Linked DNA regions of Rattus norvegicus. The protein of the gene in region 6 binds, or shares a complex with, the protein of the main gene of each other region. Links are inferred from orthologs where the notes say so. Each region holds a gene or a part of one and is shown on either strand. Other genes may lie near its edges.

Region 1 (4,134 bases), about 140 Mb from region 6:
TGTGTTTTCAGACTACAGCTGCGCTAAGGTAATGGAGTATGCCATTGGAAATCAGGAGACTGCTGTACTGTGTAAAAGTACTCAGAGGCAGAGTCCTCAGCATGCCTCCTGCTAGTAATTTAGTGTGCAAAGGCACTGGGAGGGGGAGGAACAGGAGTCACCTTAATTTATCTGTGAGTGACAGTGATTTAAATACAAAAAGCTCTGAGCCAGGAGGCTGTCCCTTCTGTGCTGCTGTTCTCTGCTTTGGTCTGTCACATACTGTTACTAGTCTCCTTGAACATGTTTCTGGGATCCTTACTTTCCTGAAGTAAAGTGTTCATGCTTCACTGAACTGTGATTGTAAGCATCCTTTGCCCACAGTAGGAAAGCATGTATAAAATAAATAAATAAAAATTCAAGTTGGATCACATAGTGCTTTGTTCAAGTATGTAGATCTCCTGGGATTATTACGGTTGCCAGCATTTGTTTTCTTTTACTCTACTGAGGGAGTGAGACTTTATTCAGGCAAAATTATATCATTCCCACAGTACCCAGTTATTAAAAAGCACCATTTATGACATTATCCAAAAAAAAATTAGTGTTATTTCAATTTGCATTATTTTAGGTAAGTAGAGACAAGATTGCACTATAAGATGCAAAGACTTGTACCTGAATACCTGTGTGCTGCCTCAGGTTGTCACTCCACTCAGGTGGAGCGCCTGACTGAACTGAGGGAGAGGCAAAACAGCACCATTTCCTAATATTATCCAATGTCCAATAAATGATCAAAGAAAATTGAGGCCGAATATTGTGTTTCAGCTGTAACTTCTTGTACAGCTGAATTATAATTCCTCGGTTGTCATGTACTGTTAACAAGCTTACTTTGTAGAACACTGTTCTTTGTTCTTGGGGAAATGGTACACAAAAATAGGACTTTCCCTCTCTCTCCTCTGGTACTGTGCTTCAGCCCAAAGCCTGACTCCTCCCTCTCTTCCCATCCCCTCCTTTTCTTCCTCCCTCTCCATCCCCACCTCTGCCCATTTTTCTTAATGGCAATCTGAATTCTGCTCATTTACCTACGAGGAAGATTCTAGACTGACAAGCAGCTTTCAAATACTGCACTGCAGGCACACCAAGTCAGTACCACTGTGCAGTCGGGAACGCTCCTCTCTGGGAATGAATGCTAATGAGCTGTCCAAGATGCTAGAGTGTATGTGCTTGGGCACACAGGTTTTCCTTCCCTACCCCCTTTCGTCCTTTTCCTAAGCCCCTTCTCTGTGCTTTCTCCTCCTACTTCTTTAACCCCTCCCTCTGTGCCTTAGTTCTGCAGTAGGCAGGCTTTAAGCAAGCACATTCCTGCATTGCAAGGCTTTCTGATAAGGATGTATTGTGGCTTTTGTTTGGATTTCAGCCTGCAGAATCACAGGTAACATTCTGAAATTGAGCTAAGCAGATAAATTATATTAAGGTGTTTGCAGAGATAAAGTAGTACATTGGAATTAGTGAAGAAAATTAATCTTGGTTAATTTTTTTCAGTGATAATATAGCCAAATGTTTTCAGGATTACCATAAGGAGATTCTCCTACAACAGGTTAAATAAAAGAAAATGAGGTTGGGTCTGTAATTTCTTTATGTTAATCTTGGAAATCCCCTTTATGGAGGGGACTGCTTAGGGTAAAGTGGGAGGGGTGCTGGCAGTCAGAGCTAGCTAGGTTCTTTGTCTAGGTTGTGGAATGCAAAATGTAAAATGCTCTTTCATTTTCTTCTATCAGCTGTTCAGAGGAGACTCATTACAACTCCTGCTGAAGCTCCTAATCTTCCTCCCTCTGCCCCTCCCCCACCCTCGTTTGCCCGAAGACACAGTCCCCAGTTTGCCTTACTTCCTTGCTATGTGTATGGTCAACCTGGCAGTGTGGATGCGTCTGGGACTGGCCAGACAACTGCTGTTGTCTCTCCCTATTCCAGGAAGAATTTAAAGGGGAATTGTACAGCAGGCAGTATACCCAGCACAGCAGCAACCCCAGGAACCTGGTGACTAGGGCTCCTGGCTTTGTCACAGGGATGCAAAGCTGACTGCAGGGACAGTAGCTACTCCTGGGAACAGCAGCCAGGTGGTAGCATGAAGTGAGAGCCAGTTCCTGAGCACGAGATGAACTCCACCTGGGATGGTAATCAGAGCAGCCATCCTTTCTGTCTTCTGGCACTGGGCTACTTGGAAACTGTCAGGTTCTGTCTTTTGGAAGTGCTGATCGTTGTCTTTCTAACTGTATTGATTATTTCTGGCAACATCATTGTGATTTTTGTGTTTCACTGTGCACCTCTGTTGAACCATCATTCTACAAGTTATTTTATCCAGACAATGGCATATGCTGACCTCTTGGTTGGGGTAAGCTGCCTGGTCCCTTCCTTATCACTCCTCTACTACCCTCTTCCGATGGAGGAGGCCATGACTTGCCAAGTATTTGGTTTCATAGTGTCAGTTCTGAAGAGCATCTCTATGGCTTCTCTGGCCTGTATCAGCATTGATAGATATATTGCCATCACTAAACCTTTAACCTATAATACCCTGGTTACTCCCTGGAGACTACGCCTCTGTATTTTTCTGATTTGGCTGTATTCTACCCTGGTCTTCCTGCCTTCCTTCTTTCACTGGGGTAAACCCGGATATCATGGAGATGTATTTCGGTGGTGTGCAGAGTCCTGGCACACCAACTCCTACTTCACATTGTTCATCGTGATGACGCTGTACGCCCCAGCTGCCCTCATTGTCTGCTTCACGTATTTCAACATCTTCCGAATCTGCCAGCAGCACACAAAAGAAATCAGCGAAAGGCAAGCCCGATTCAGCAGCCAGAATGGGGAGACTGGGGAAGCCCAAACCTGTCCAGATAAGCGCTATGCCATGGTCCTATTCCGAATCACCAGTGTGTTTTATGTCCTCTGGTTGCCGTACATCATCTACTTCTTGCTGGAGAGTTCTACTGGCTGCAGCAGCCGTCTTGCCTCCTTCCTGACTACCTGGCTTGCTATTAGTAACAGTTTCTGCAACTGTATCATTTACAGTCTCTCCAACAGTGTTTTCCAACAAGGACTAAAGGGCCTTTCAGAGTCTGTGTGTACTTCTTGTGCAAGTCACACCACAGCCAAGGACCCTTACACAGTTAGGAGCAAAGGACCCCTTAATGGATCTCATATCTGAGGGGGACTCATATATTCAGTCTCTCTGTTTTCAAGGAGAGAGGATGGCTTTGGTTCACTTTTTCCTTCCATCTCTGTGCTCCCAGTTCACTGGAGATGTAGGAGCAGCTACAAACTGTCCGGAGAACCTTCATAGTTTGCAGAAGTTGTTTTCTAAATGAGATTTAAAATTAGAAGAATCAGGATGATGGAAAAAAATCAATCTTGATCCAGTCTTTGAAATGTCATGGAAGTGACTATAGTTCTAAGATTCAAAAAGAGTAAAGCCATAGTTGATACCTCTCTCTCCCCTTTGGCATGCCTGAATCTGGATGTAAAAAGAGTCAGCATGTTTAAAAAAAAACAAAAACAAAAAACAAAAAACATTTTGTTGCCCCTTTATGGATTATTTCATGCAAGTTGCAATTTATATGCAATTCTAACAGGAAATATTAAAATATATTGATGAACTAGCAAGGATTTTCTTTATCTGTGCCAAAATATAACTGTACTGCAAGTTTCAACATTCATTTAGACAGTGAAATGTTTCGTTTTCTTGCCTCTTGAGAGAAATCTCCATAGGATAAATAATGAGAGCATTGGACATTGTTCTGTAGAGTTTTGAAATGGAGCAATTGTGCAGTGAAGTCACGCAGTGAGATCCAGGTGCTTTCCCCCCGTGTTTCTGAGCATTGTGAATGCGTGTGCAGCAGTGACAGTGCTCTTCCAGGGCTTCTGTCTGTGAATACTGAGAATCTATACACTGAGCTGGGTTTTTAATGACAAAATATTTAATCTAAATAAATAATAGATGGATAGCTGCCCAATTGTAATGTGAAAACATTTTTTTAAAGTGACTGTAGTGTTTTCTGTTCTTATCCAAAGTCTTCAAGGAAAACCGAGTTCGCTGATGCAGTCAGCCCAGGGTCAGTGTAAACTTGTCTGCCTTCTAAAGAGTCAGCTACTATCACAGCC
Region 2 (2,621 bases), on a different chromosome or scaffold from region 6:
TCTTGATTGGCATATTGATATTCCAAGAAGGTATATTTCTTAGCCACAGTATAAATTTAGTTCTTGGATTAGATCTACAGCGTAACGTCCATTTGCCTCTGATGAGCCCCAAGCGTTATGTACATAAGTTTTGTTTGGGTCACAGCCGATAGTCTTTGGCAACAAGTTCTCTTTGCCCTTGCAGGTGCAAGTGACCCTGAAGCGTCAGTGGGCGCAGTTCAAGATCCAGTGGAGCCATCGCTGGGGTAGGCGCCGCCGCCCCACCAACCGAGTGGTTAGCGCTCCTCGTGCTGTAGCCTTTGCAGAACCAGGTGGCCTCCCCATTTACATCTGCCATCAGGAACCAAGGAATCCTCCAGTCAGCAACAACGAAGGCGAAGAGGGTACTGAAATGATCCCCATGAATGTCATCCAGCAAGACTCATCCGCTTGAATGCTTGAATGTGAAGCAACCCCCCAACATTGTGATCCACTGAGCCTTCATTTCCTGGGAGAACGATAGACCATGCGTTTCAAGTGATCCCCATCCTCCCAGGAGCTAAGCATATCATTTGTGAAGATGTATTAAGTGAATTTGTCCATAGTGAATTTGAAGAACGTTATTCTTGGTACTATTGCTTTGGGAGTCAGGCTAGGCTCTCAGTGCAACTTGTGAACTCCATTATTCATCTAGGACTGAGATGACAGTGTTCATAGGAATGTAGACAAGGTATCCAAAACTGCCACTAAATTGACCTAGTTCAGATAAGGGTGCTCCATGTTAATCTTGAGCCATTTGTACCTTTGAGAAACTAAAATCACTCTCAATGTTTTTAATTTTAACACTGGACTTTGAATTAGACTATTTCTGTATTTGGCTACGGATCTGGTTTTTAATGTTTTTATTTCAGTCAATTCCTATATTGCACATTTTTTCATCCATACAATGTCAACTGCACAAATAACATGACCTCTGGAAGATGCTGTGTCTTTTATAACATGATCCACGTCACCAGGCAGACCCAAATACTGTAAAGAATTGATCTGAATGTTGAGTGTGCTTTGGTCACTGACATTTATAAATTGGGAGGTCATCAAGAACCTATCACTAAATTTTTCACAAAACTGACCCCCCTCAAATGTAATTTTCCATCAAAGAGAACACTCTTTAAAGATAGTTTTCCACTTTCCTAAACTACAGGATTTATAAAGCAAATCATTCCAAGGTTTATAAAGCAGATTACCTCTTGCCCTTGGGTGCTATTTAGCAGTGAGGGATAGATTTGTTTACGACTGGTAATTAAAAGACTCCATTCAAGTCCATTAACTGCCTTCCACCCAGCTTCAAAGCTTGACAAGATCCCGTGTTTTCCAGGAAGACTCAGTGTGGCTAATTACAAATCAGTTTCTAGTTGACCTCTTGTTTGCTTCTATTAGCAAAACAAGGAGGGAAAAAAGCAAACCACAATGTAAGGACTTGGAGTTTAACCACATATTAGTTCATCTTAAATTAAAGACAAGCTTCTCACCAAAACTCAGTACCATATTTCCACGCCTCTCTTTACTCCCCAGAATGAGATCTTCCAAGATCCACAAATAAACCAATACCATTACCAATTTCTGAATCTGCAACTGCAATCAATTATCATTATTAATTTGTATGCTGAATGAGACGCATCCTTGAGACCCTTAAAAATCTCATCTCCTCTTTGTCATCTTGTGTCACTGCCTTTCAGAGGTGATTTAGTTGCGTAAAAACAAAAGTAACTTGATTTGTTCTGGTTACGTACTTGGTGCACCCAGAGAAAATTGTATTTCGCTAGCAGCTGTGGCCCTTGGATACTGAGAGTCTCCTTTACCAAAATGGGAGAATTGAAAGGAAGGATTTTTTTTCCAATCACAGTGTTACGTGGTGATGTTCCCATGTTTTGTTTACAAACATTGAAATCAGTGTATTTCAGGCAGCTCTGGTACAAATGTGATAGTGTATTGCTGAAGTGTTTGAGACGTTATTGTGCTTCTGTAGTAGGGGCTGATGAAATCAAACTGACTTATCATAGCATTGCATGTAATACCTAAATTGTGTGAAACACTTCTTCTGTGTACTTGTATAAATTAATACAAGCATGTTGAAAAGGCAAAGATGTTTGTTGGCATATTTTTCTAAAGAAATACATTGTCATCTTCCATTCATTCATTTTTGTCTCTGCTCATTCCACGCCTTCTTCATTTCACCCAGGAGCTACCAGCATCTCCATCTTGTTCATCTTATGGGAGGGAGGAAGAGCTAAAAGCTTAGGTTAGAGATGGCTTACATGAATACAATATCCTCATCTGTATTAGTGTAACCACTTTCAATCTAACGAGGTGGTACAGTTCTCACACCCTTGATGATATGAAACCATCCCAAACTGTCCATCTGTTATTAGATACCTTTGGGGATTCTAGCAAAGAAATCCAGGACAGGGACATAGAAGATCATTTTGTTCTGTGTTGGTTTTCATTATTCTGGAGCCAGACTTGATCTGTCCAACATTACCTCAGGTCATTGGAATTATTACAAGTTCCTAATATAATTTGAAAGAAAGATTAAGATTGAATTAAAGATAACTAATTAAATACCATTAAAATGCACAAAGGCC
Region 3 (4,215 bases), on a different chromosome or scaffold from region 6:
TTTTGATCAAGGGCTCTCACTTTGTACTCCAGGCTGACCTTCAATTTGCTCTGAAATCTCGGTTGGTCTTGAATTTGAGATCCTTCTGCCTTGGCCTTCCAGGTACTGCAATTCCAGGTCTGTGCTACTCCACCCTGCTGAGAAATATTCCTTCTATATAGAAACTTAATTTTTTTTCTGAGAAATATTCTTCCCATGAAGGTTAATTTTCTACATAGAAATATCTTACATAGAAATGCATTCTTCAATACATACACTGGCCAGCTTTTAATGGTATGAAGATTAAGACAATTAATATTAAAATGTCTTTAGCAGGGTCTGGTCCTTTACAGTTGTCCTAGTTTAGTTTAGTTTTGTTTTCAAGGCAGGTTTTCTCTGTAGCATGGCTGTCTGGGAACTCAGAGATCTGCCTGCTTCTGCCTCCTGAGTGCTGGGATTGACGGTGTGCACTACCACGACCACCATCTGGTCCTAAGCTTTTTGATAAAGCTGGGATAATTCTCCAAAATCCATCTTCATTTTGATGTTTGCAGATGTCAAATATTGTCTGGTTATTGTTGGGGTCCCAAGTTCTGACATGTGATATTTTTCTGCAGTACAGAGAATCGGCTAATAACAGTCTCTATTTAAAAGTTATTTTACAGGATGGAACTGTAACTTAACACACTAAGCATGCTATCACCACGATGCACAAGGACCTGGGTTCTAGACCCGTTAGGAACAAGAAGAAAAGTTACTTATTTCTCCTGTGCCAAGGTGTAAGTTCGTTTGTACCTCATACCAGAGTCCTACGGATTAGGCATTATTGAATGTAAAGGACTCAAAAGTTAGTAACCATTATCGTATGCATTTCTCATGTCTACATACTGAGGACTCTAAGCATCTACACACCCCTTTTAGGTAATTTATCTGAAATGATGATGGCAGAGCTGGTTCTCAAAACCACGTTGACTAAAGCAGTTAACTTTCTGTGGGGCTTTTGTAGCACTAAAGTTGCAGAACCAGCCGAAGCTGGAATTCCACTGGCACCTGCCGTTCAAGGTGGTGGCCAGACTCTCGGAGTTAATAGGCTTTTCCGCCAAGAGCTCAGGAAGTTACTCGCTAACCCCTGTCCCGGCGACAAGTCACTACAGAGCAGATCCCCGCGGCTAAGGCTCCTCGCTTCCAGAACCGAGTGTGCTCTGCAGGGCGCTTTCCCTAAGGCCCAGGACGGACGCCTGGGTCCGCTGTGCGAACGGAGGCGAGGGCTCGTCCGCCCCCGCACCACGCCTGGCTGGGCTGGGCGGGGCACAGGGCCGGTCCCGCCGCCGCGAGCCCCAACCTGCCCGCCCGACCTGGCGGCGCAGTCTCGCGGGATCGCCCAGCTCTCGCTCCCCGTGCGGCCCCGGAGGCGGTCGAAGCTCGGACGCTGCCCCCCGGCTGCCGGCACGCCGGGGCTGTCTGAAGTGGCGGGGCCGATCGACGCCAGAGACAGCCGCCACCGCCCCCGCCGCCCGAGGTGAGGCGTCCCCGGCCCGACGGGGCGGGCGGGCAGCGGCCGGGACCCGAGCCGCAGGTGCGTCGCCTTGGAGTCCCACGCAACTCCTGGGAAGTGACTCCGGGTCCCCGTAGGCCCGGGACGCTGCCGCTCAGCTGCAGGCCTGGAACAGGTGCCCCGACTCAGGACCCCGGGGTTCAGGGGAGCTGCCGGTGGGAGGTTTACGTGGGTGGAATTCGGGGTACAGGAGGGCACGGGATGAGCGCGTTGAAGGGGAAGGTGCTGGAGGTGAAGAACGATCGAAAAGGAGTCACCAAGCAGGCCCACTCTTTCCAGGGGACCTCGGTCAACCCTGGCAGGCTGATTCGCCTTGGCGGAAAAACAGGAAAAGCACATCCGCAGGAGACTGCTATTGTAGAGAGCGCTAAACTTGAAGAACTCTGTCTGGGTCTTAGGGAATCCACTTGTCCTCATGTTTCCCATGTGGTGAGATGACCAAGGGGCCCCTAAGTCCCCTTTCTTCCAACCACCGCACCCCTTTCCCAGTCCAACTTGTTTATGCCATGCCTCTCTTAACCAGTGTTTCAGACCCTCTAAACCTTCATCAGCAGTTCCCTAGAATTGAGGCTTCCTTAGCAAAATGATACATTCCGCACTCGGGCGGGTGGAAGTGTCTCTCTAGGATGGAATTTTCCACAGTTTTTTTCCCCCCAGCACCAGTTACCCAGCATGAAATTTGACTTGGATTTGATTTTGTGACAAATGTTGCAGATGACACACTTTGGGTTTGTTTTTACAGCAGTTGTCCCAGAACTCATTTTCAGGAAACGGCTTCTTTCAAAATGGTAAAAATAATGAAATGAGGAATTTGTCCATTTTATCTCCAATTTGAGAATCTTTTGATGCGGAAAGGAGCATAAGAGTAATCCAAGCCATGTGGTAATCGGAGTCTGGGGAAGATGGAAGCGTCCCCGTTTCTGTCGGCCTGCATTCTTCTGCCCCTCATAAGAGGGCACAGCCTTTTCACCTGTGAGCCAATCACTGTTCCCAGATGTATGAAAATGGCCTACAACATGACGTTTTTCCCTAACCTGATGGGTCATTATGACCAGGGCATTGCTGCTGTGGAAATGGAGGTGAGTGGATTTTCATGCCTATATTGAAAATTAGTTTATACGGAGTGTTTTTCTCTTAACTATTACCTTTTAATCTTTAAACGTAGTTTTTCCCCCAATCATATTTTTAAAAGTACTTTTGAAAATTAATTAAGCCCCCCTCCCGTTGACAATATTTGGGCTGCTAGTTAATTTGCTTAAAAAAAAAAGGTTGAGTTCATAATGAAGAATGGTTACAGATGAAAATGTTTTGCTTTTCAGAATTTGTGTCATTGCTTCTCTAAGACTGTGATTTCTGAATTTTTAAATTTTCAATGTTTATTTGTTTGGTTTTTCAAGGTAAGGTTTCTCCCGTGTAGTTCTGGCTGTCCAGGAACTCACTCTGTAGACCAGGCTGGACTCAAACTGAGATCCACTTGCCTCTGCCTCCCGAGGGCTGGGATTAAAAGTGTGCACTATCACACTCAGCCCAAATTCTGCATTTTTAAATGGTTGACTGAACATATAGTTTGTATTGCTTGAGCTAAAATGGAAGAAACTTGCATGTTTATACAAAGTACTTATAAATTTATTTGGCTTAGTTTTCCCAAAGTTAATAAATTACTGGAATGTTTTGGTGCTAAAGAGGGTGTTTTACTAAAAGATGACTTTCAGGCATAGCGTGTAAGCATGTTTTCTGTATATAAGATACTTGTTAAAGAAAGCTCACTTGTGGGGAAGGGCAGTGTGACACTAAAGATTGCCTCAGGTGCCTCAGTCAGCGACTCTGGATTAGAGATATGCAAATGTCCCAGGGAGATGTGGGAAGAAAGGGCTGCCTGTGGAGACAGGAACCTGCCCTGCCTCACAGATCTGTTTGGTTGATAAGTTTCATGAAGGAGAAAAAGAAAGAAGACAAGAGTGTAGGTTTTGTAATCTTTCTCTAGACAGGCTGAAGCCAGTCAAGGCTTTTCCTCAGATTGTCTCTGAGAGATGAAACCCCCAGAAGTGTAATCTAGATGGATTTTTTTAAACTGACCACATTTGATCTTGCAGCTTTGAAGGCCTTCCATTGTCTGCTCGAAGAGTTAGTTGTCTGACTACCTCTTTGTAGACTCCTGTCTGGGTAGGGCAGTTTTTAAATACTAAGATATAATTTTAAAAGGTTTACAAGTTGTAGGGTTTTAATCTTTCAGTAGTTTCTCCAAACCAGTGCAAAGTCCCCCTTCTTTTCCATCAGGTGGCAGGGCACAGAGCCCCTCAAATACAGCAAGGTCTCGCCCACTCAGCTACAGCCTCAGCCCTGCAAAGCGTTCTTTTGAACACTCAACAAAGGGTGCAGGGAGACTTCCATTGATTAATTAGAACCATGAGTGTATAGTGGATACCATCAGACAATAATTACAGTGTTCAGTCTGGTCGCCTGTGATGATAATGTTTTATAGTATATACTAAAGCAAGTGTTCGTAAAGCATCTTACTTTCATTTGGTTTCCTCTCTCTGTAGTAGCTATGTTCATTTTAGGCTTGAGTTCTAACAGTGACCTTAGAAAGTCATCACATGGGGTTGGGGATTTGGCTCAGTGGTAGAGCGCTTGCCTAGGAAGCGCAAGGTCCTGGGTTCAATCCCAGCCCCGAAAAATAG
Region 4 (4,257 bases), on a different chromosome or scaffold from region 6:
GGGTCCCTGAGGCATCTCTTTTTCTTGAGAAGTCCCTAGAATTCCTTCAAGCCTGTCCCTAAGTCTCCCCCTCCTTTCTTGGAATCGCAGCAGCCCTTCTCAGGCCAGTGCAGTTTACTGAGCTCCCTGTGTGGCCATTTCTTTCTGGGCTCACAGCCGGCTCACATTGTTCCCCAAGGCTTTTCCACTTCCATGGAACTGCAGGCATTCCTCTGGCCTCACTGTGCGAGCTGGGCACAGGGCTTTCTTTCCAAGTGCTCTCCAACAGCCCCACCCCTACGGCTCCCTCCCAATTGCTTCCCTCCAACAGCTGCCTCTTCCAACAACGATTCTTGGACAGTGGCTTAAGCAAAGAACACATTTCGCTACTATAGGAGCAAGATTGCAGAGTTCCTTCAGCAGCTCTGTGTCAACAAAGTCCTAAGCTGCAGCCTCTGTGGTTTTCTTGACATTCCTAACTACGTCCAAACTACCATCGTACTCCAAACACCCCTTCTTCACTCCCTTTCAGGAGTACGGTAGAGGGAAAGGGTGATTTTCATAGCTTGGCATCTTTGCCACAGGGGAAGAATGAGTGCTTTTGAACCCCACAGCCTCTTTCTGGCCACAGTTTTGTCCCAGAACCATCAAAGAGGTCCCAGATAATGAGATTTCTCAGAGTGTTCAAGACATGTTCGGAATAAGACTTGTATAAGTCACCCTGTTTTGGTTAAACTCTGGTATCTAAACTCCACAAGATCAGAGGTTTTCTTCCCCTCTGGTTTATCAACAGTGGAATCTCTGATATTCATAATAATGCCAGGAATCCAGCAACTAGTCCCTGGCAGAATGTGAGGACCGCAGGAACGCATGAGTGAATACATGGTCCTGATGGTGTGATGGGTGTCCACCACCCCCAGCAGCTTCTACTCCAGTCTGACCAGCATGGTGTTCCTAGGTGACCTCTGATCATCTTGATCTCTGACCTTGATCTTGTGTCTTCTTTTCTCCCAGGGAGGGAGCCATCACTGGAGGCTGCCCTTGTGCCAATGAGCTTTGCCAATACCTCCTCTACCTTCGAAGACAAGATGTGTGAGGGGAACAGGACAGCCATGGCCAGCCCTCAGCTGCTGCCCCTGGTGGTGGTTCTCAGTAGTATCTCCCTGGTCACAGTGGGCCTCAACCTGCTGGTGCTGTACGCTGTGCACAGTGAACGCAAGCTACACACCGTGGGCAACCTATACATTGTCAGCCTGTCTGTGGCAGACCTGATTGTAGGGGCAGTCGTCATGCCCATGAACATCCTCTATCTCATCATGACTAAGTGGTCCTTGGGCCGCCCCCTCTGCCTCTTTTGGCTTTCTATGGATTATGTGGCCAGCACAGCATCCATCTTTAGCGTCTTCATCCTGTGTATTGATCGCTACCGCTCCGTCCAGCAACCCCTCCGGTACCTGAGGTACCGAACCAAGACCCGGGCTTCCGCTACCATCCTGGGGGCCTGGTTCTTCTCCTTCCTGTGGGTTATACCCATACTTGGCTGGCATCACTTCATGCCCCCAGCCCCAGAGCTTCGGGAAGACAAGTGTGAGACAGACTTCTACAATGTCACTTGGTTCAAGATCATGACTGCTATTATTAACTTCTACCTCCCCACTTTGCTTATGCTGTGGTTCTATGTGAAGATCTACAAGGCTGTGCGGCGACACTGTCAGCACCGCCAGCTCACCAACGGGTCCCTCCCTTCCTTTTCAGAACTCAAGCTGAGGTCAGACGATACCAAGGAAGGTGCCAAGAAACCTGGGAGAGAGTCTCCCTGGGGGGTTCTGAAAAGGCCATCAAGAGACCCCAGTGTAGGACTGGATCAGAAGTCAACATCTGAAGACCCCAAGATGACCTCTCCAACTGTCTTCAGCCAAGAGGGGGAAAGGGAAACACGTCCCTGTTTCCGTCTCGACATCATGCAGAAACAGTCTATGGCTGAGGGAGATGTCAGGGGCTCAAAGGCCAATGATCAGGCCTTGAGCCAGCCCAAAATGGATGAGCAGAGCCTGAATACTTGTCGGCGGATCAGTGAGACATCAGAGGACCAGACCTTGGTGGATCAACAGTCCTTCTCCCGGACCACAGACTCAGACACAAGCATAGAGCCAGGGCCGGGCAGAGTCAAATCGAGAAGCGGGTCTAACAGTGGCCTGGATTACATCAAAATCACCTGGAAGAGGCTCCGCTCACACTCCAGACAGTATGTGTCCGGGCTGCACTTGAACCGAGAGCGGAAGGCAGCCAAGCAGTTGGGTTTTATCATGGCGGCCTTCATTCTCTGCTGGATTCCCTATTTCATCTTCTTCATGGTCATTGCCTTCTGCAAGAGCTGCTGCAGTGAACCCGTGCATATGTTCACCATTTGGCTGGGCTACATCAACTCCACGCTGAACCCCCTCATCTACCCCCTGTGCAACGAGAACTTCAAGAAGACATTCAAAAAGATTCTGCACATTCGTTCCTAAGGGCATACCAAAAGGATGCCACATAGTGGATAGACAACGTCTGATGTCCAAGAGGGAACCAGAGGAAGAAAGCATGGGTGTCACTAGACCCCTGAGCATTAGGAAGTGGAATCTAAGGTCCTGGGCTGAGCAGTCTGGAGGCATTCCCAGGAGCTGTCAGAAGGAAAGCAGGCAGCAGAGCGATTGTGCTCTGGGTAGAATGCAGAGCATCTGAAGGAGACCCAGGCAGAGCATGCCTGGCCCTCAGGGACTGTGGGAGTCTCAGATACTCCGTGGAAGTCAAACTCTCTGACTTAAGTTTCTTGGTAACTGAAGTGGGAATGTGTGGCTATAGTTCTTCTGGAGGGTTAGCCTGGACTCAGACTTCCCGAACAAAAGCTGTGTGACTGCAGAGACATGCACACCGATGCTGTCCCCTTCCAGGGGTTACCTGGAGAGGCCTGGCAGCTGTTTCATTGCAGCCACACTTCTCAAAATGCAGTCCTTCCGAGCCGAGCCTCTCTTACAGCATTGTCCAGAGCTATGTGCCCCACCATGGAACTTGCCTTACCCGTGTCTCAGAGTTTCTAGGAAATTAGGCAGCTTGTGAGTCCATCATTTTCAACTCTTAGTTCTTTTGGGCTTTTAAAATGGCGGCAGCAACAACAACAACACAGTAACAAAAACTGTCCTCAAATGTCAAGAGGAGGAGGAAGAGACTTTTGAATGGTTCTATTTTAAGCAAAGGAAAGGCAAGACAGCCTTATTTCTTTAAGACTCCACCAGGGGGCTCTCACTCTAGGCCCCTGGCGTGACAAAGGAAAAGAGGTTCCTGGAATCATTTGATACTCACGTCAGAAACTCGGGATGAGAACTTTGTATGGCCTCAGTTCATCACTTCTCCAAAAGGGAAGAAATGTCCCCTGCCATGTACTCACAGTGTTCCCCAAGAGAAGTGACAGTGTCCCGAGTAACGGGCATGGAGCACACCTGTCCACAGAGGGTGACCCTCGGAAGGGACAAATGTGCTTTTCTCTATGAGACTGTGTGGTTTCTGGTCACACATGCTGAACGAATTCTGTTGAAATCATGGGAACGTCCAGTTTTATTTATGACAGAATCGAGTTGTGATTTATATTTTAAAATGTAATGTTGAACATCAATGAGTGTTGCAAGTAGGAACCCCTGTAAAAGCTGGCCTTTTGTGTCTGTGTTCCTGTTTGCATGACCTGTCCAAATGAGATATTTTTGCTTACCTAAAACACGACAACATTTGGAAGGTACTGTTATATGGCTGCTTTGTGTCTACTTTTCTGAGTCTCATAGGCTGGGGGAACAGGTGGAAACGAAAGCCTGACAAGGATTTCTGTCTGATTTCGACTCAAATTTATAAATGTCCTTTAATAGGACTTTTGTTTTTCTAGAACTTGGTGGGGAGCAAGACAGCCATGGCCAGCCCTCAGCTGCTGCCCCTGGTGGTGGTTCTAAGTGTTGTCTTACTCCTTCTTGCATCCTGGGACACTCTTCATGCTCAAGCTTTGGGGGTGGGGGTGTCTTAGGGTTATGCTGAGAAAGGAGCTTTGACTTGGGTATGACAAGGACAAGAAGTGAATAAACGTCAGCTAAGGAACACACAATGCCCTGTGACAGTGCTCAGAGTTTCCAACGCTTACACAGGAGTGCTTTCACATCAACCTAAAAATAAAACATTGGAGGCTGGAGTGATGGCTTGGTGGTTACGAACATTGCCTAATCATATAGAGGACCCAGGTTAAGTTCCCACCTCCTA
Region 5 (3,500 bases), on a different chromosome or scaffold from region 6:
GAAAGTGCATTTTTTAAATAAGTGAATCAATAAAATCTGTAAGAAAAACACACACCAGGAGAGACCTTTTCAAAGGGACAAGTGGGACCACTGTGGGACGTGAAGTGCCGATTGCCGCTCTCTGTATCTCAGATCTCTGTGGCTTCTCAGAAGCTATGCACAGCTTTGGACAGGGGGACAGCCTATCAGGCTGACATCTTTTAATCTAGACCACAGGGGTGAGGGGACCCCAGAATGGCTGACTAAGCCAGCAGCGGGTCTCAACCTTCCTAATGCTGTGGCCCTTTGATACAGTTCCTCTGGCTGTGGTGAGCCCGACCGTAACATCATTGTTATTGCTACTTCAGAACTGTAAGTTTGGTGCTGTTGTGAATTGTAATGTAAACATCTGTGTTAAGGTCTCACGCTCTACAACTATGAGGCCTGGAGTTCAGGTCCCAGCACCTGTGTATGACAGAAGGTGGCCATGTCTCCATCCCAAAAGCTCTCAAAAGTTACTAGTGGAGCAGAGCTATGAACTCCCTCTCCCCCTCCCTCTTTCCCTTCTCTTTCCTCCCCCTCCTCCTCTCCCTTCTCCTCCCCCTCCTTTCCCCTCCCCTCTGGTGCAATCCCTCTTAGTTTTGTGTTTTTTTGTTTTTTTTTTAAAGATTTATTTATTTATTATATATAAGTACACTGTAGCTGTCTTCAGATACACCAGAAGAGGGCATCAGATCTCTTTACAGATGGTTGTGAGCCACCATGTGGTTGCTGGGAATTGAACTCATGACCTCTGGAAGAGCAGTCGGGTGCTCTTAACCGCTGAGCCATCTCTCCAGCCCAAAATTACTTATTTAGTTTTTTTTTTTTCCGGAGCTGGGGATCAAACCCAGGGCCTTGCGCCCGCTAGGCAAGCGCTCTACCGCTGAGCTAAATCCCCAACCCTGTTTTGTGTTTTACACTGTGTCTAGGTTTCCTCATGAAATCACACTCCATCGCCCAGGTAGTAGCTGATGCTGCCTTCCCAACTGAGCTCTTAATACCCACCCAGCTCATCGTTAAGCTTTTATAATGCTGTGTAAGAACTCTTAAACCAGCTGCAATCCCACTCTGTCAACGAAGGGCACCGTCTGAAAACGCAGCAGGCCTTTTAATCTCTAGGCAAGCATTTGCACGTCTCCACAAGCTGAGACAGCTGCAGGGTCACAAGGCCATGCACCTCATGGCACCATCATGCCGTGCTTTGCAGACTGAGACCTCTCCTGTAGTGCTGTATTCCTATCAACGCCGTCCCTTAATTGCAATGGCATAAAAGAGAAGGCTAGGGAATATCGCTCAGTATAGAGCAATTGCCCGACAAGAACAAGGTCCTGGGTTCAGTCTCTCATCAGGAGGGAAAGTGGAGCAAAATTCCTTCTTTTTCTTTGTCTTTAATTGTGTGTATATATGTGTATATGCGAGAGTGTCTGTACATATAAATGCAGTTGCCCAAAGAGGCCAGAAGAGGGTGTCAGGTTCCCTGGAACTAGAATGGTGTGATGGACAGCTTTGCACCATCCAGTGGGGGTCCTAAGAACCAAACTCAAGTCATCTAGAAGAATAGTAAGGGCTCTCACCCACCGAACCATCTTTCTAGCCTCAAAGATAAATCTCTGGATGTTGAAAGTACTTACATGTCATTTTTCTCATTTTGTGTAAACACGTATTTGGCCATCGGATATGTGCTACAAGCATGTCAATAAATGAAAATTCCTCTCAGAATGGTGCTAAATAGGTTCCCGATTTTTAAAAGTCTATCTGACATTCCTTATGATTTTTTTAGTATTAAGTATCATAAGTCATATAGTCTAAGGATAAAAATATAAAAAAATAGTTCAGAAAATACTTGTAAATAATCATTAAGAGGGGCTGCAGGAGAAAGAGCTCAGTCACTGAGTGCCCCCCTGTGCAAGGAGGAGGACCTGAGTTAGTCTACTGGGGCGAGGCAAGGTCTCTTCTGGACCCAGAACTCATAACTTGGCCAGGGTGGAAGCCAGCCCCAATGACCATCCTCCATCTGATACCCTGGGACGGAGGGTTACAAGCATTTGTGGAGACACCCAACTTGTTACATAGGTGCTAGAATCTGAACTCCAGTGTCCATAGTTGTAGAGCATGAGAACTTAACCTCCGAGCCATCCCTCAGGCTCTCCCCAACCCACCCTGAAAAGGACCTGAATTTGATCCCCAGAATTCATGTGGAAAAGTTGGAACATGGGGGTACACACCTGTAATCCTAGCATTGTGCAGCCAGGGGCAGGCAGATTCCTGTAGCTTAGCTATGGCCAGCTAGCATAGCCTAATTGGTGAGCCCCAGGGTTCAGAGAGAGACCGTCTCAAAAGACTATACATGGTTTCTGGGAAACAACATTGGGGATTGGCTCCTGGCCTCTATACATAGACAAACACAAATACTGTAAACCAGTGGGCATCTGGGAATTCCTACGGGCAGGAAAAGCACATAGTAACAGAACACTGACACATACTGACAGAACACTGTCCTTTCTTCTGTACTGCAGATACATGGCCATCATCCACCCTCTCCAGCCCCGGCTCTCAGCCACGGCTACCAAAGTGGTCATCTTTGTCATCTGGGTCCTGGCTCTCCTGCTGGCCTTTCCACAAGGCTACTACTCCACCACAGAGACCATGCCCAGCAGAGTCGTGTGCATGATCGAGTGGCCGGAGCATCCCAACAGGACTTATGAGAAAGCGTGAGTAGAGATTTGCCTGTCTTGTGATCGGCTCGGAAGCCGCTTGGTGCTGTGCAGAACCTTGTCCTGACCTCTCCCCATTTTCCTTCTATATTCTTGCATCAGTGAGGGTTTCACACATGTCTGCCTGACTTCCTCACATCCACTTCTCTGACACGGTGTTGATACATCTACCACTATTAGGGGGATGGCGTCCCCAGTACGGCGATTAAGGATAGTTAAGACCTAGTTGCCATTACAGATGCATCCCAGGATTCTGGAGCAGCAGACCCTTGGGTGCTCCACCATCTCTCTTGGGCCTTTTGTGTAAGACACTTCCCTGCTAGGATCTACATTTCTGTGATGTCACTGTACCAGGCACAGTATGCTGGGAGGTGGGAATGTCTCCACTCCAGTCTCTCTCAGCAGTGGCCTGCTCCTCTCCCCTCTGGTACAATCCCTCTGCAGCTTGTGTCTCACACCGTCTGCAATTTCCTAAGGAATCTAAGTGGCTATTGCTCCCGTGGTAGCTGGTACCCTAGGACGTATGTTATAGACTACCCCTCTTTCCTATAAACCACAGCTCTACTCCCTGCCCCCTTTCTCCCTCCTAAACAATGCCACTGCCCTTGACTCTCTTAGCTCATAAGCTGCCTCTAAGGAAGCGTCAATCCGAAGCCCTTTCGGAGTTTAGGAGTTTACGGTGTGAGAACTGAGACATCCCGATCAGATGCGAGCATGGGAGGCCTTTTAGTGTCTAGGGGTTGCAGAACACATACAAGCAGGCCT
Region 6 (4,222 bases):
GCGAGGCGGGGGCGCGCACCCCGATGGCCCTAGCCCACCGCGGTCACGAACAATCGAGCCGGGGGAGCCCCGAAGGGCCCACCCCAGCAGTTCTGGGCTCACCTCACGCCCCCGCCTGTCCAGCCTAGGATCGCTGGCGCTGGCGCTGGCCTCCGGCCGGTAACGACCCTCAGTGTCGCTCGGCACCACTTTTCTCCCTGGAGGGCATACAGTTCGGCCACCCGAACACTCCAAAAGGCCCCTTTCCCACCCCAGGGCAGAGTTGGGGTCCCTCCCTGGAACTTCTAACAGGGTATCCAGACCCCTCCTCCCACGGGCAAGGCCCAAGCCCCACCGGAAGGCCCTACCACCCCCTCCCCGGGTGCCCGGGGTGGCCCTACTGCCCAGGGGCAGAAGCTGCGGCATTACCTAGAAGCAGCAGGCGGTGTGTACACATGTAGTCCATCTTCTCCTCCTCCAGTTGCTTGTCGATGAGCTTGCTGCGTTTCTTATCTGCGCGCTTCTGCTCTCGCATCTCCATGGCTTCTTTGCGCATCTGTTTGCGCCTCTCTTCCATAGGATCCTTGGCCTTCCCGGGGCTGAGGGATCGTGATCGGGTACACTCAGATAGACCGAAGCAGCTTCCGAAGGCTCGGGCGAAGAAGTTGCGGACCGGGTTGCTCCCGACTGTGTGGCTCCGGGGCTGGCCAGGGCGGCGGTTTCGCCGCAGAAGCCACTGGAAGCAGCCAGTGGCCCCTTCTTCCGACTCATCGCTGGAGGACTCGATCTCGCAGATGCCGGACGCAGCCTCATACCTGCAGCAGCTTCGGCCACGTTCGTATTTGTCAGGCCAGGCACTCGGCCGCGGAGCAGGCCGCGGAGTAGGCGGGTCAGCAACCTGGATCTCCGGGCTGGGGGGTCTAAGATGGGCCCTGCTTGGGGCGGCAGAGGCTGACCGGCCGGCAGCGACTGCGCGGGCAGCAGAGGCTGCTCGGGCGGCAGCTGCTGCGCGGGCAGGGAGGGATGCCCGAGCGGCTGGAGTAGCCGAGAGTGACCTGGCTCCCCAGACCAGAGGACCTGCATAGGCTGCTCTAGCGGCGGCTGCCCTAGCAGCGGCTGACATCGCTGAGGCTCCAGGGACAGCCCCGGCGGCTGGATGGGCTCTGGCAGAAGGGACAGCCCGGGTAGCGGGCTCCGTAGGGGTGACGGGGGCTGCCCGGGCGGCAGGCTCCGCCGGCGTGGCAGAGGCTGCCGCGGCTGCGGGCTCCTCTTGGGTGTCGGGGACTGCCCCGGAGGCAGACTCGGCTTCGGTGTCAGGGACTGCCTCGGCAGCTGGCTCGGCGGCTGGCTCGGCGGCTGGCTCGGCGGCTGGCTCAGCGGCTGGCTCGGCGGCTGGCTCGGCGGCGGCGGCGGCGGCTGGTTCTCTGTTGTCTTCGGACTCGGCAGGGGTGGCTGGGGCTGTCCCTCCGTCTGGTTCTGCCCGGACATCTGGGCCCGCATCTTCAGAAGCAGGCGGAAGATCGGTGGGCATGGTTGGGACTCCTCCGACTTCCTCAGGACCGATCTGAAGAACTGCGTGTGTAGCTGAGTCCGGATCGGCTTTGGAAGAGTCCGTTCCGGACTCCGCAACAGGAGCTGGCTTGATATGCACTGTTTCAGGTTGGGTGGGGGATCCTTCTCCTCGCTCGAGGGAGGGGACTTTTGCCTCCTCTGCAGTGGTGCTGCTGATAGGGCTGTTTCCTGTCTCGGCTGCTTGTCGCTCAAGTGGGGGTCTCTTTGCGTGCTCGCTCTTAACTGGGGCTCCCGAGACTTCGATGGGCGGGCCATCACTTGCGATTGGGGGGCTGTCCATATTGACAGCGGTGTCGTCGTCGACCCCAGTGGAGGCTCTGCCAATCTCAAGCAGGGGTCTGGTGATCTCCATTGGGGAAATGTCGTATGCGAAGTTAGGAGATCTGACAGCCTCGCGGAATGGTCTGCCAATGGCGCCCTGGACCCAGAGGGGAGGCGCGTTCGCGGCGGGAGCGAGGCAGAGCGTACTCGGGACCGCGACTGTCGGGAACTCGCCGCCAATGCCGATTTGTGGCGTGACTCGCGGGAGTCCTGGGGGTGGGCTATCGCCCCCGAATTCTTCTCCATCGAGCTGAAATGGCACAGATTCTTCAGGTGGAGGGCTGTAGTCTTCTCGGAAGCCAGTGTTTTCAAATCCGAGGTTCCCGGGCTCCGCGGGAAGAGCTCTGGAGACCCATGCTTCCGGACCCCCTGGCGCAAGGTCTGGGACTTGCAAGGGAGGCTGGCAACGGTCTTCCTGGGCAGGCTCATTGAACTCAAATGGCATAGCTTCTTCTGGTGGGGGGCTATAGGCTCCCAGGCCTGGGTGTGCACCAGTGGGGGTCCCGGGCTCCAAAATCGCTGGGTTGAAGGCTTTGATGCCTGATGGGGTCCCAGATGGTCCAGGCTGCTCCAGGGTGGGCCAGAAATCTCCCAGGCTGGGCTGTTGGATCTCGAATGGCATGGCTTCCTCTGGAGGTGGGCTGTAGTCTCCGCCCACTTGGACTTCCTCGAAGGCCTGACTGGGGCTCTGGATGTCAGATTTGGAGTCTTCAGGGGGTCCACAGACCTCACTGTCAGTCTCGTCGGGGATGGGCTCATTGTTAGACGGTTCGGTCTCCATTTCTTCGGCTGGGCCAACCCCAGCACCGGGGGCAGCGGCCCCTTGGGCTTCCAAAGGTTCTTGCTCGGGCTGGTCCCCGACTTCAGGGGGGATATCGTGTTGTCCTGACATATTATTGCCGTGGAGGCAGTTGAGCATGCCCATAACACGGTGGCGGCTTTCAAAATAAATTTGGGGCCCCGTAAGACGGAGCACCCAGCCAAACTAGGGTGAAAAAAAATATATTTTTTAAAAAAATTCAAGTTTTGGCTGGAAAGTTCTCCAGCCTCAGTTTCCAACCTTCGTAAGGATCGGTGATCCGGGACTAGAACCCATGGCCATGGCTGAAGCGAGTCATCTCTTGCTGGCGAGGTCTGGCACCTTCCAAGTTACCTTTACCCCTTCGGGCTGTGGTCGGCCAGCAACTTTAGGAACTTTTTTGTGCTCTCTTCTTACTTTGGTCTACTTTAGCTCCGCCTTCTTGGCATCCAAGAGCGTGCCGATTCGTCTCGAAAATCGTAAGTAGAACTCTTTCTCTGCCGCCAGAGGACGCCGGTCTCAGTGCTGAGCCGGCTCTGGGAGCTGGCTCCGGGTGCCAGCTGCTCCCGACTTTGGGTAAGGGGGCGGATGAGCGGAGGCCTCGTAGGGACGTTCAGCTCCGTCCTCTTCTCTCCCGGACTGATTCCGAGTCTCTCTTCCTCGCTTTTTCTCTAGCCAGAGAGAGCGCGAGCTCTCTTGCGTTGCTGGGACACGTGACGCAAGACGTGGGCATTGGCCTGTTAGAGTACAGGAGCTGAAAGCCTCCCTCCCCATCTGATTCTTCTGGACGGGAGGAGGGACTGCAGGAGGGCTTTATCACCCCAGATTACCCTAGTATGCGGCGAATCTTTTATCTAAAGACCCTACACTCAGGCCAATTATCCATATTCATCTCCAAGCCAGGAAAAGGAGGCTTTAGGATACAAGGAAAGGGGGTAGAGGCAAGCACTATAAAATGCGACAGGTGGTCGTGAGCCCACCGGAAGGGGAGGGGGGGTGAGGAAGTGCGGAATGTAAACACGCAATTTGTTATTTAAATGCTCCGGGTAGTTTTTTTTTCTCTTTTTGATGTTTACGTTTGCTGTTTGTCGGGGATGGCTCGGCAAATACTGTCAATGTCCCCCATCCCCATTACACCTAGAGTGGCCTAATGTGACGCAGTCAGGGCTCGCTCTGTTTATGTGGGTGGTGACGCAGTATGAATAAAGGTCTCGGTAGTGCACTGCGGAAAATCAAGCAAAGCCCCCTTAGGCGGTACTCATGGTTGCCGCGTTCGTGCAGACAGGGGAGGGGACCCGGGGCTTACCGAAAGACCCCCTAGCTCAGGGCTCGCACTTCTGTGTTCTGGGTAAGGGCCAAAGGAGATTTGGGGTGTGGTTGATGGCCCATTTAGGGTGGTCTTAAAGACTAGAAAACCCGATTATGCCCTTAACCCACCAACCAACCGTGCTGTGGTGGCAACGGCTGCAGGGACTCCCGTCTTCCAGCCACCAGTGCCAGCTGCCGATTCCGTGTCCGGTTCCTCTATATAGATAGCCCTTCTCCAGACCC
Region 7 (4,093 bases), on a different chromosome or scaffold from region 6:
TCCGAAGAAAGGACACTGGGACACACCTCAGTTACCCCATGAAGATCTGGGAATCCTGCTTTAGGAGAATTTTATTGGTTTTATTGGGCTCTGCACCTGGCTACCAGACCTGGGTAGCAACAGTCTGAATAAGCCATGTTGAGAAATCTTGGCATGTTTGTAAAGTTATGCTGGTAAGTTGTGGCTTCAGAGTTTACACCTGTGCCTATGTGACTTGAATTGTTTTGACCTCTGAAACATGTCTTCCCAACCCGGCCACCAAGAGAGCACATTAACTTGCACCAGTAACAGCCTTCCTTCTCGTGTTCTGGGGATGCCACGTGTGAATGTTACTTCCTCCATGACTCATGAATGTTACTGCCTCATCCCATGGTTTAGATCTGGTATTTCATGTGGCTCTCCCTGGGACAAGATGATAGATAGATGTGCAGTAGACTTTTAAAATAAACACACTCACAATTCAGATTCCAAACAATGCCACAATTTATCACATACCCAAGATCATACTTTTATAATGTGTTTATTTGTGTACAAAATATGTTGTAGTTTACTGATGCATGTGCAGCAAAATATTCTATCACATACAACAAAAATACATCTCTGACTCCCTTTCTCCTGCTCTTGGGGATGGCAACACTGTCTTGGCATTTCAGCAGCTAAAAATAAAGTGCTATTATTAAGCAGTATTGGAATGTCTTCACTTGACAAATGTGATGTACGATTGAGTATACAACCACATTTTGTTAGTTTTTTTCACAGAACGGGAAGCTCCAGGCCCTGAACACCTCCAGAAGATACAAATATTTGTATATATATGTACACGTGTATACACTGTATATGTAAAATGCCAACAAGCCTCTTTGTCTGAGTCAGTTTGTTGCGTTCACATCCAGTCCCTTTGCGGGGCAGTCAGACTCGCGCCGAACCACTGAGTCCTCAAGAGTTCATCAGCAGGCACCTAGAAGCTCACCAAAGGCCGGCATGTTGGATTTGTGATGTGGGTGAGGAGACACGGAGGAGCCCTTCAGACCTCACTGGGGGACCTGGAGCGGAAGGGCACTTTGGATTGGAAACAGCCACAGAACAGGAGCCACAAGGCACGCTGGATCTCCTGGTTGCGGAAGGCATAGATGATGGGATTGATCATGGAGTTATAGGTGGCAGGCAGCAGGGTGGCATAGGTGTAGATGGCCGGGTCCTCTTGGCTACCCACCACACAATAGATGGCGAAGGGCAGCCAGCTGGCCCCAAAAGTGCCTAGCACCACGGCCAAAGTTCCCACACCCTTTCTGGTGGCTGCTAAGTGTGGTGGTGCTAGGCAGTGCTGTTGCAAAGCGATCTGGTGGGCGTGGCGCCAGACCACCTGGCAGATGCGCACGTACAAGTGTAGCATGATGCCAAAGACCACAAAGAAGGAAGTGGAGAGCAACGCCACATGGCTGCGTGTCAGGGGGCGCACCACGCTGCAGGACGCGCGGTCAGCCAAGCAGTTCCAGCCTAGAACGGGCAGCAACCCCAACCCGAGGGACACTGTCCAGGTGGCTGCTAGCAAGAGGTGCACGCCCAACAGGGTCCGGCGCGAGTAGTAGGTGAGCGCGTTGTAAAGGGACAGGTAACGGTCCACTGTGATAGCGAGCAGGCTGCTGACTGAGGCGGCGAAGGACGCCACCAGGAAGCCCACCATGAGCAGGCTCACAGTCTCCGAGGGCACCACGTACTGGAACACGAAGTGTAGGATGAGGCCACAGCCCGCCAGCAGGTCAGCAGTGGCCAGACTACCCACGAGCACAAACATGGGCGTGCGCAGCGCGGGAGTGGATGCGATGAGCGCCACCACCAGCGCATTTTCGCCTGCGATCACAGTCCCCGACACGCACAGCAGCACATCCCAGGGATTCACTGCCGAAAGCAGAAGTCCTGAGGGTCCTGCGGGCAGCTGCGAAGACAGCTCCAGTGACCCGTTAGGTCCTCCGCCGCCTCCCAGCGCCGCGGATGCTGCCGGAGGTCCCCATTCGCTGGTGTCCGGTGTCCCTGCTGCTGTAGCCGCAGCTGCCGCTCCCTCGGCCGCTACTGCCACCACCTGGGACTCGTTGAGCGCGGCGGCGCTAGCGTTCATCGCCGCCAGATGCTGCTCCCTGTATAAAAGGGACCGCGGATTGTCAGGTGCTCTGTCCAAACTACCGAGGAACTTTCCCTGTTATAACTGCCTCACTCAAATCGCATATCTTACTTCAGGAGTATGCACGGAGCATAGTGGGGGAAGCAGGGATAAAGTGCGAACCCCAAATAAATAAGCACCTGTTGGTTGAATGAATGAATGAATGAATGAACGAAAGAGATGGGGCTTCTGAGCTTTGGCAGAGGCGCATAGATAGATCCCACTATGCACTACCGTACACAAGTATCCAAATATAAGAGTCAATCTCTTTGCAAGACTAAGCTGGGCACAGCCGCTGTCCGCGGTTCTGAAAGCCAAGTTTGGGATCTCAAGGAGCCAGAGACCCCAGGTCTTGAACTGGAAATTGAAAGACTAAGGGGGAAGTCTGCTAGGGTGCGGTGGTCAATTCTTGCTCCGATTCTCTGACTCCGGTATGGACTCTCTCTGGGATTGCCTTTTACCCTTTCGCCTTCCCCACATGCTCAAAGAACCCTTAGGAGCCCGCCGCTCACCTGAGGAGTCAGGGCTCCCGGGAGTCTCTGGTCATGCGCTCCGCGGCTGTGTGCCCTACGCGGTCCGAGCAGCTGCCTGCAGGAGGCTGCCCCGCGTCGAAGAGGAAAGTACTGGTCTCCTGTCCCTGAGCCACCGTCGCTGCGAGTGAGAGGCAGTGGCAGAGAAGGCAGGCTGCGAGCTGCGCGCCTGCCCGAGATTGACAGGCGGGGCCCGGTGACGTCAGGCTCTGGGTTCTGGTTCCAGTGGCTTACTCGCCACACCGGCCAGGCCAATCCTTCTTGGCGTCTCCCCACCCCTCACAGAAACATTTCAGAGAGATCCAGAAGGAAGGAGAAGCCAGAGTCTCCACCAGTCCAGATACCTCCAGGAATGGGATGGGGCTGAGAGGAGAGGGAGAGAGGATTGAAGAGAACTCCGAGGCTGGACAAAGGAGGGTGAGCTGGAAAAGGAAGGCGAGGGGTGAGTGAAAATAAGCCACACAGCAAAGGCCAGAGCCAAGGATCACTGAGGTGAAGAAGCCACGGAGAAGGGGTGGTTGGGACATCTGGAAGAAGAGAGAGAAAAGTTCTCTTTGTAAGAGTGTTTATAGCGTCTGTGCCGCTCGAGGGAAGAAACCTTGAGCTGAGAGAAGAGACAAGACAGAAGGAAGGGCAAGACCGGAAAACGGTTTCTTTTTTGAGAGATTTACCTGAGGAATCCTCTTGCAGAATACCTGAGCCCTCCCCTGCGGGTTTCACCACTGATATCTTCGCCTCTTGCTGCTGCCCTTGCAACTGCTCTTTGATTAAGACAAGGTCTGTGTCTTGTAAGAAAAAAACGGCAACAAAATGTGATTTACTTTCCTGGCAACAGACTTTGCCCTGTTAATTACTACCTTATAAAACAAATTATAGGACCGAAATAGTGATAACTCAGCTGCACCAGACTTCAACAGGCACGGGTTTTATTTTCAGCCCAGATAAATCGCCCTTTTAGCTCAAAGGTGTTTTGGTTTGTCAGTAAATTGCAAGATTTTGTCTCTTTCTTTTGTAACCGGACAGACTCTCCAACAGCTGTACTTGGGCCTAAAGCTAAAGCAGCTGACTCTGTAAAAGGCTCTAAAAGGAATGATTACACATTGCTATTACAGCTCTGGACCGGGGCCACTGCTGTGGCCTTCACACAGTACACGGTTTGGACAAAGTGAAATAAAGTGACACACATGGTAGGCGCTTCCTGCCTCCTCCCCAGCCAGTGCTTGGCTCCACTGTTACAGATAGCTCCAGGGATGCAGAGAGAGAGAGCGAGAGAGAGTGAGAGAAAGAGAGAGAGAGAGAGAGAGAGAGAGAGAGAGAGAGAGAGAGAGAGAGAGAGAGAGAGAGACTCAGCTGGCTCATAGTCTTGAGGGATGGGGGATGCCTGAATTGGCTACTTTAGACGGGA

What was found.
Region 1: the proteins of Gnas (region 6) and Gpr21 are in contact, whole or in part, in a cryo-EM structure (PDB 8HMV), measured with the Homo sapiens proteins. The link is inferred for Rattus norvegicus from reciprocal best matches to the Homo sapiens genes GNAS and GPR21. Residues at the interface, in NP_000507.1 of Homo sapiens: Gln35, Arg38, His41, Val217, Pro321, Asp323, Arg342, Asp343, Leu346, Arg347, Thr350, Tyr358, Cys359, Pro361, Phe376, Cys379, Arg380, Asp381, Ile383, Gln384, Arg385, His387, Leu388, Gln390, Tyr391, Glu392, Leu393, Leu394; in NP_005285.1 of Homo sapiens: His61, His62, Thr64, Arg127, Ala130, Ile131, Thr132, Pro134, Leu135, Thr136, Tyr137, Asn138, Thr142, Pro143, Ile214, Ile217, Cys218, His221, Thr222, Asp224, Ile225, Arg228, Gln229, Arg231, Phe232, Arg249, Tyr250, Val253, Leu254, Asn308.
Region 2: the proteins of Gnas (region 6) and Calcr are in contact, whole or in part, in a cryo-EM structure (PDB 7TYY), measured with the Homo sapiens proteins. The link is inferred for Rattus norvegicus from reciprocal best matches to the Homo sapiens genes GNAS and CALCR. Residues at the interface, in NP_000507.1 of Homo sapiens: Lys34, Gln35, Arg38, Ala39, His41, Val217, Phe219, Tyr358, Phe376, Cys379, Arg380, Asp381, Ile383, Gln384, Arg385, His387, Leu388, Gln390, Tyr391, Glu392, Leu393, Leu394; in NP_001158210.1 of Homo sapiens: Arg180, His184, Glu240, Tyr243, Leu244, Leu247, Ile248, Val249, Val250, Ala251, Val252, Phe253, Glu255, Lys256, Ile319, Val322, Leu323, Lys326, Met327, Glu329, Thr330, Lys340, Lys343, Ala344, Ile347, Leu348, Leu351, Tyr391, Asn395, Asn396.
Region 3: the proteins of Gnas (region 6) and Fzd6 are in contact, whole or in part, in a cryo-EM structure (PDB 8JHB), measured with the Homo sapiens proteins. The link is inferred for Rattus norvegicus from reciprocal best matches to the Homo sapiens genes GNAS and FZD6. Residues at the interface, in NP_000507.1 of Homo sapiens: Gln384, Leu388, Gln390, Tyr391, Glu392, Leu393, Leu394; in NP_001158087.1 of Homo sapiens: Arg226, Ala310, Lys314, Ser316, Cys317, Val396, Gln407, Lys409, Leu410, Phe413.
Region 4: the proteins of Gnas (region 6) and Hrh1 are in contact, whole or in part, in a cryo-EM structure (PDB 9LRB), measured with the Homo sapiens proteins. The link is inferred for Rattus norvegicus from reciprocal best matches to the Homo sapiens genes GNAS and HRH1. Residues at the interface, in NP_000507.1 of Homo sapiens: Gln35, Arg38, Ala39, His41, Lys216, Val217, Asn218, Phe376, Cys379, Arg380, Asp381, Ile383, Gln384, Arg385, His387, Leu388, Gln390, Tyr391, Glu392, Leu393, Leu394; in NP_000852.1 of Homo sapiens: Asp124, Arg125, Ser128, Val129, Gln130, Pro132, Leu133, Arg134, Leu136, Lys137, Arg139, Thr140, Ile213, Ala216, Val217, Gln219, His220, Cys221, His223, Lys412, Ala413, Gln416, Leu417, Cys471, Asn472.
Region 5: the proteins of Gnas (region 6) and Tacr1 are in contact, whole or in part, in a cryo-EM structure (PDB 7RMH), measured with the Homo sapiens proteins. The link is inferred for Rattus norvegicus from reciprocal best matches to the Homo sapiens genes GNAS and TACR1. Residues at the interface, in NP_000507.1 of Homo sapiens: Arg38, His41, Val217, Phe219, Tyr358, Phe376, Cys379, Arg380, Ile383, Gln384, Arg385, His387, Leu388, Gln390, Tyr391, Glu392, Leu393, Leu394; in NP_001049.1 of Homo sapiens: Met63, Thr67, Asn68, Asp129, Arg130, Ala133, Ile134, Ile135, Pro137, Leu138, Gln139, Pro140, Arg141, Leu223, Gln239, Ala242, Lys243, Val246, Met249, Leu308, Asn309, Phe312.
Region 7: the proteins of Gnas (region 6) and Gpr6 are in contact, whole or in part, in a cryo-EM structure (PDB 8TYW), measured with the Homo sapiens proteins. The link is inferred for Rattus norvegicus from reciprocal best matches to the Homo sapiens genes GNAS and GPR6. Residues at the interface, in NP_000507.1 of Homo sapiens: Gln35, Arg38, His41, Val217, Phe219, Asp323, Asp343, Leu346, Ser349, Thr350, Arg356, Tyr358, Cys359, Phe376, Arg380, Asp381, Ile383, Gln384, Arg385, His387, Leu388, Gln390, Tyr391, Glu392, Leu393, Leu394; in NP_005275.1 of Homo sapiens: Met107, Asp165, Arg166, Ser169, Leu170, Ala173, Leu174, Thr175, Tyr176, Tyr177, Leu182, Ile248, Val252, Arg254, His255, Ala256, Gln258, Ile259, Leu261, Gln262, Gln263, His264, Lys276, Gly277, Thr280, Leu281, Arg332, Asn333, Gln334, Glu335.

What each region holds. Positions count from the first base shown.
Region 1 is NC_086021.1:41,683,738-41,687,871, forward strand, and holds the start of Gpr21 (probable G-protein coupled receptor 21), read left to right. Parts: upstream 1-1,334; 5' UTR 1,335-1,408; intron 1,409-1,754; 5' UTR 1,755-2,131; coding exon 2,132-3,181; 3' UTR 3,182-4,134. UniProt on the Homo sapiens protein: Orphan receptor.
Region 2 is NC_086022.1:32,615,455-32,618,075, reverse strand, and holds the end of Calcr (calcitonin receptor isoform 1a precursor), read left to right. Parts: intron 1-184; coding exon 185-433; 3' UTR 434-2,121; downstream 2,122-2,621. UniProt on the Homo sapiens protein: G protein-coupled receptor activated by ligand peptides amylin (IAPP), calcitonin (CT/CALCA) and calcitonin gene-related peptide type 1 (CGRP1/CALCA).
Region 3 is NC_086025.1:71,938,558-71,942,772, forward strand, and holds the start of Fzd6 (frizzled-6 precursor), read left to right. Parts: upstream 1-1,415; 5' UTR 1,416-1,555; exon of another isoform or gene 1,556-1,649; intron 1,650-1,740; exon of another isoform or gene 1,741-2,276; 5' UTR 2,277-2,436; coding exon 2,437-2,613; intron 2,614-4,215. UniProt on the Homo sapiens protein: Receptor for Wnt proteins.
Region 4 is NC_086022.1:149,200,511-149,204,767, forward strand, and holds the end of Hrh1 (histamine H1 receptor), read left to right. Parts: intron 1-993; 5' UTR 994-1,028; coding exon 1,029-2,489; 3' UTR 2,490-3,757; downstream 3,758-4,257. UniProt on the Homo sapiens protein: G-protein-coupled receptor for histamine, a biogenic amine that functions as an immune modulator and a neurotransmitter.
Region 5 is NC_086022.1:116,569,117-116,572,616, forward strand, and holds part of Tacr1 (substance-P receptor), read left to right. Parts: intron 1-2,537; coding exon 2,538-2,732; intron 2,733-3,500. UniProt on the Homo sapiens protein: This is a receptor for the tachykinin neuropeptide substance P. It is probably associated with G proteins that activate a phosphatidylinositol-calcium second messenger system.
Region 6 is NC_086021.1:183,501,821-183,506,042, reverse strand, and holds the start of Gnas (GNAS), read right to left. Parts: upstream 2,801-4,222; 5' UTR 2,798-2,800; coding exon 409-2,797; intron 198-408; coding exon of another isoform or gene 1-197. UniProt on the Homo sapiens protein: Guanine nucleotide-binding proteins (G proteins) function as transducers in numerous signaling pathways controlled by G protein-coupled receptors (GPCRs).
Region 7 is NC_086038.1:46,072,452-46,076,544, forward strand, and holds Gpr6 (G-protein coupled receptor 6), read right to left. Parts: upstream 2,801-4,093; 5' UTR 2,671-2,800; intron 2,136-2,670; 5' UTR 2,117-2,135; coding exon 1,025-2,116; 3' UTR 29-1,024; downstream 1-28. UniProt on the Homo sapiens protein: Orphan receptor with constitutive G(s) signaling activity that activate cyclic AMP. Promotes neurite outgrowth and blocks myelin inhibition in neurons.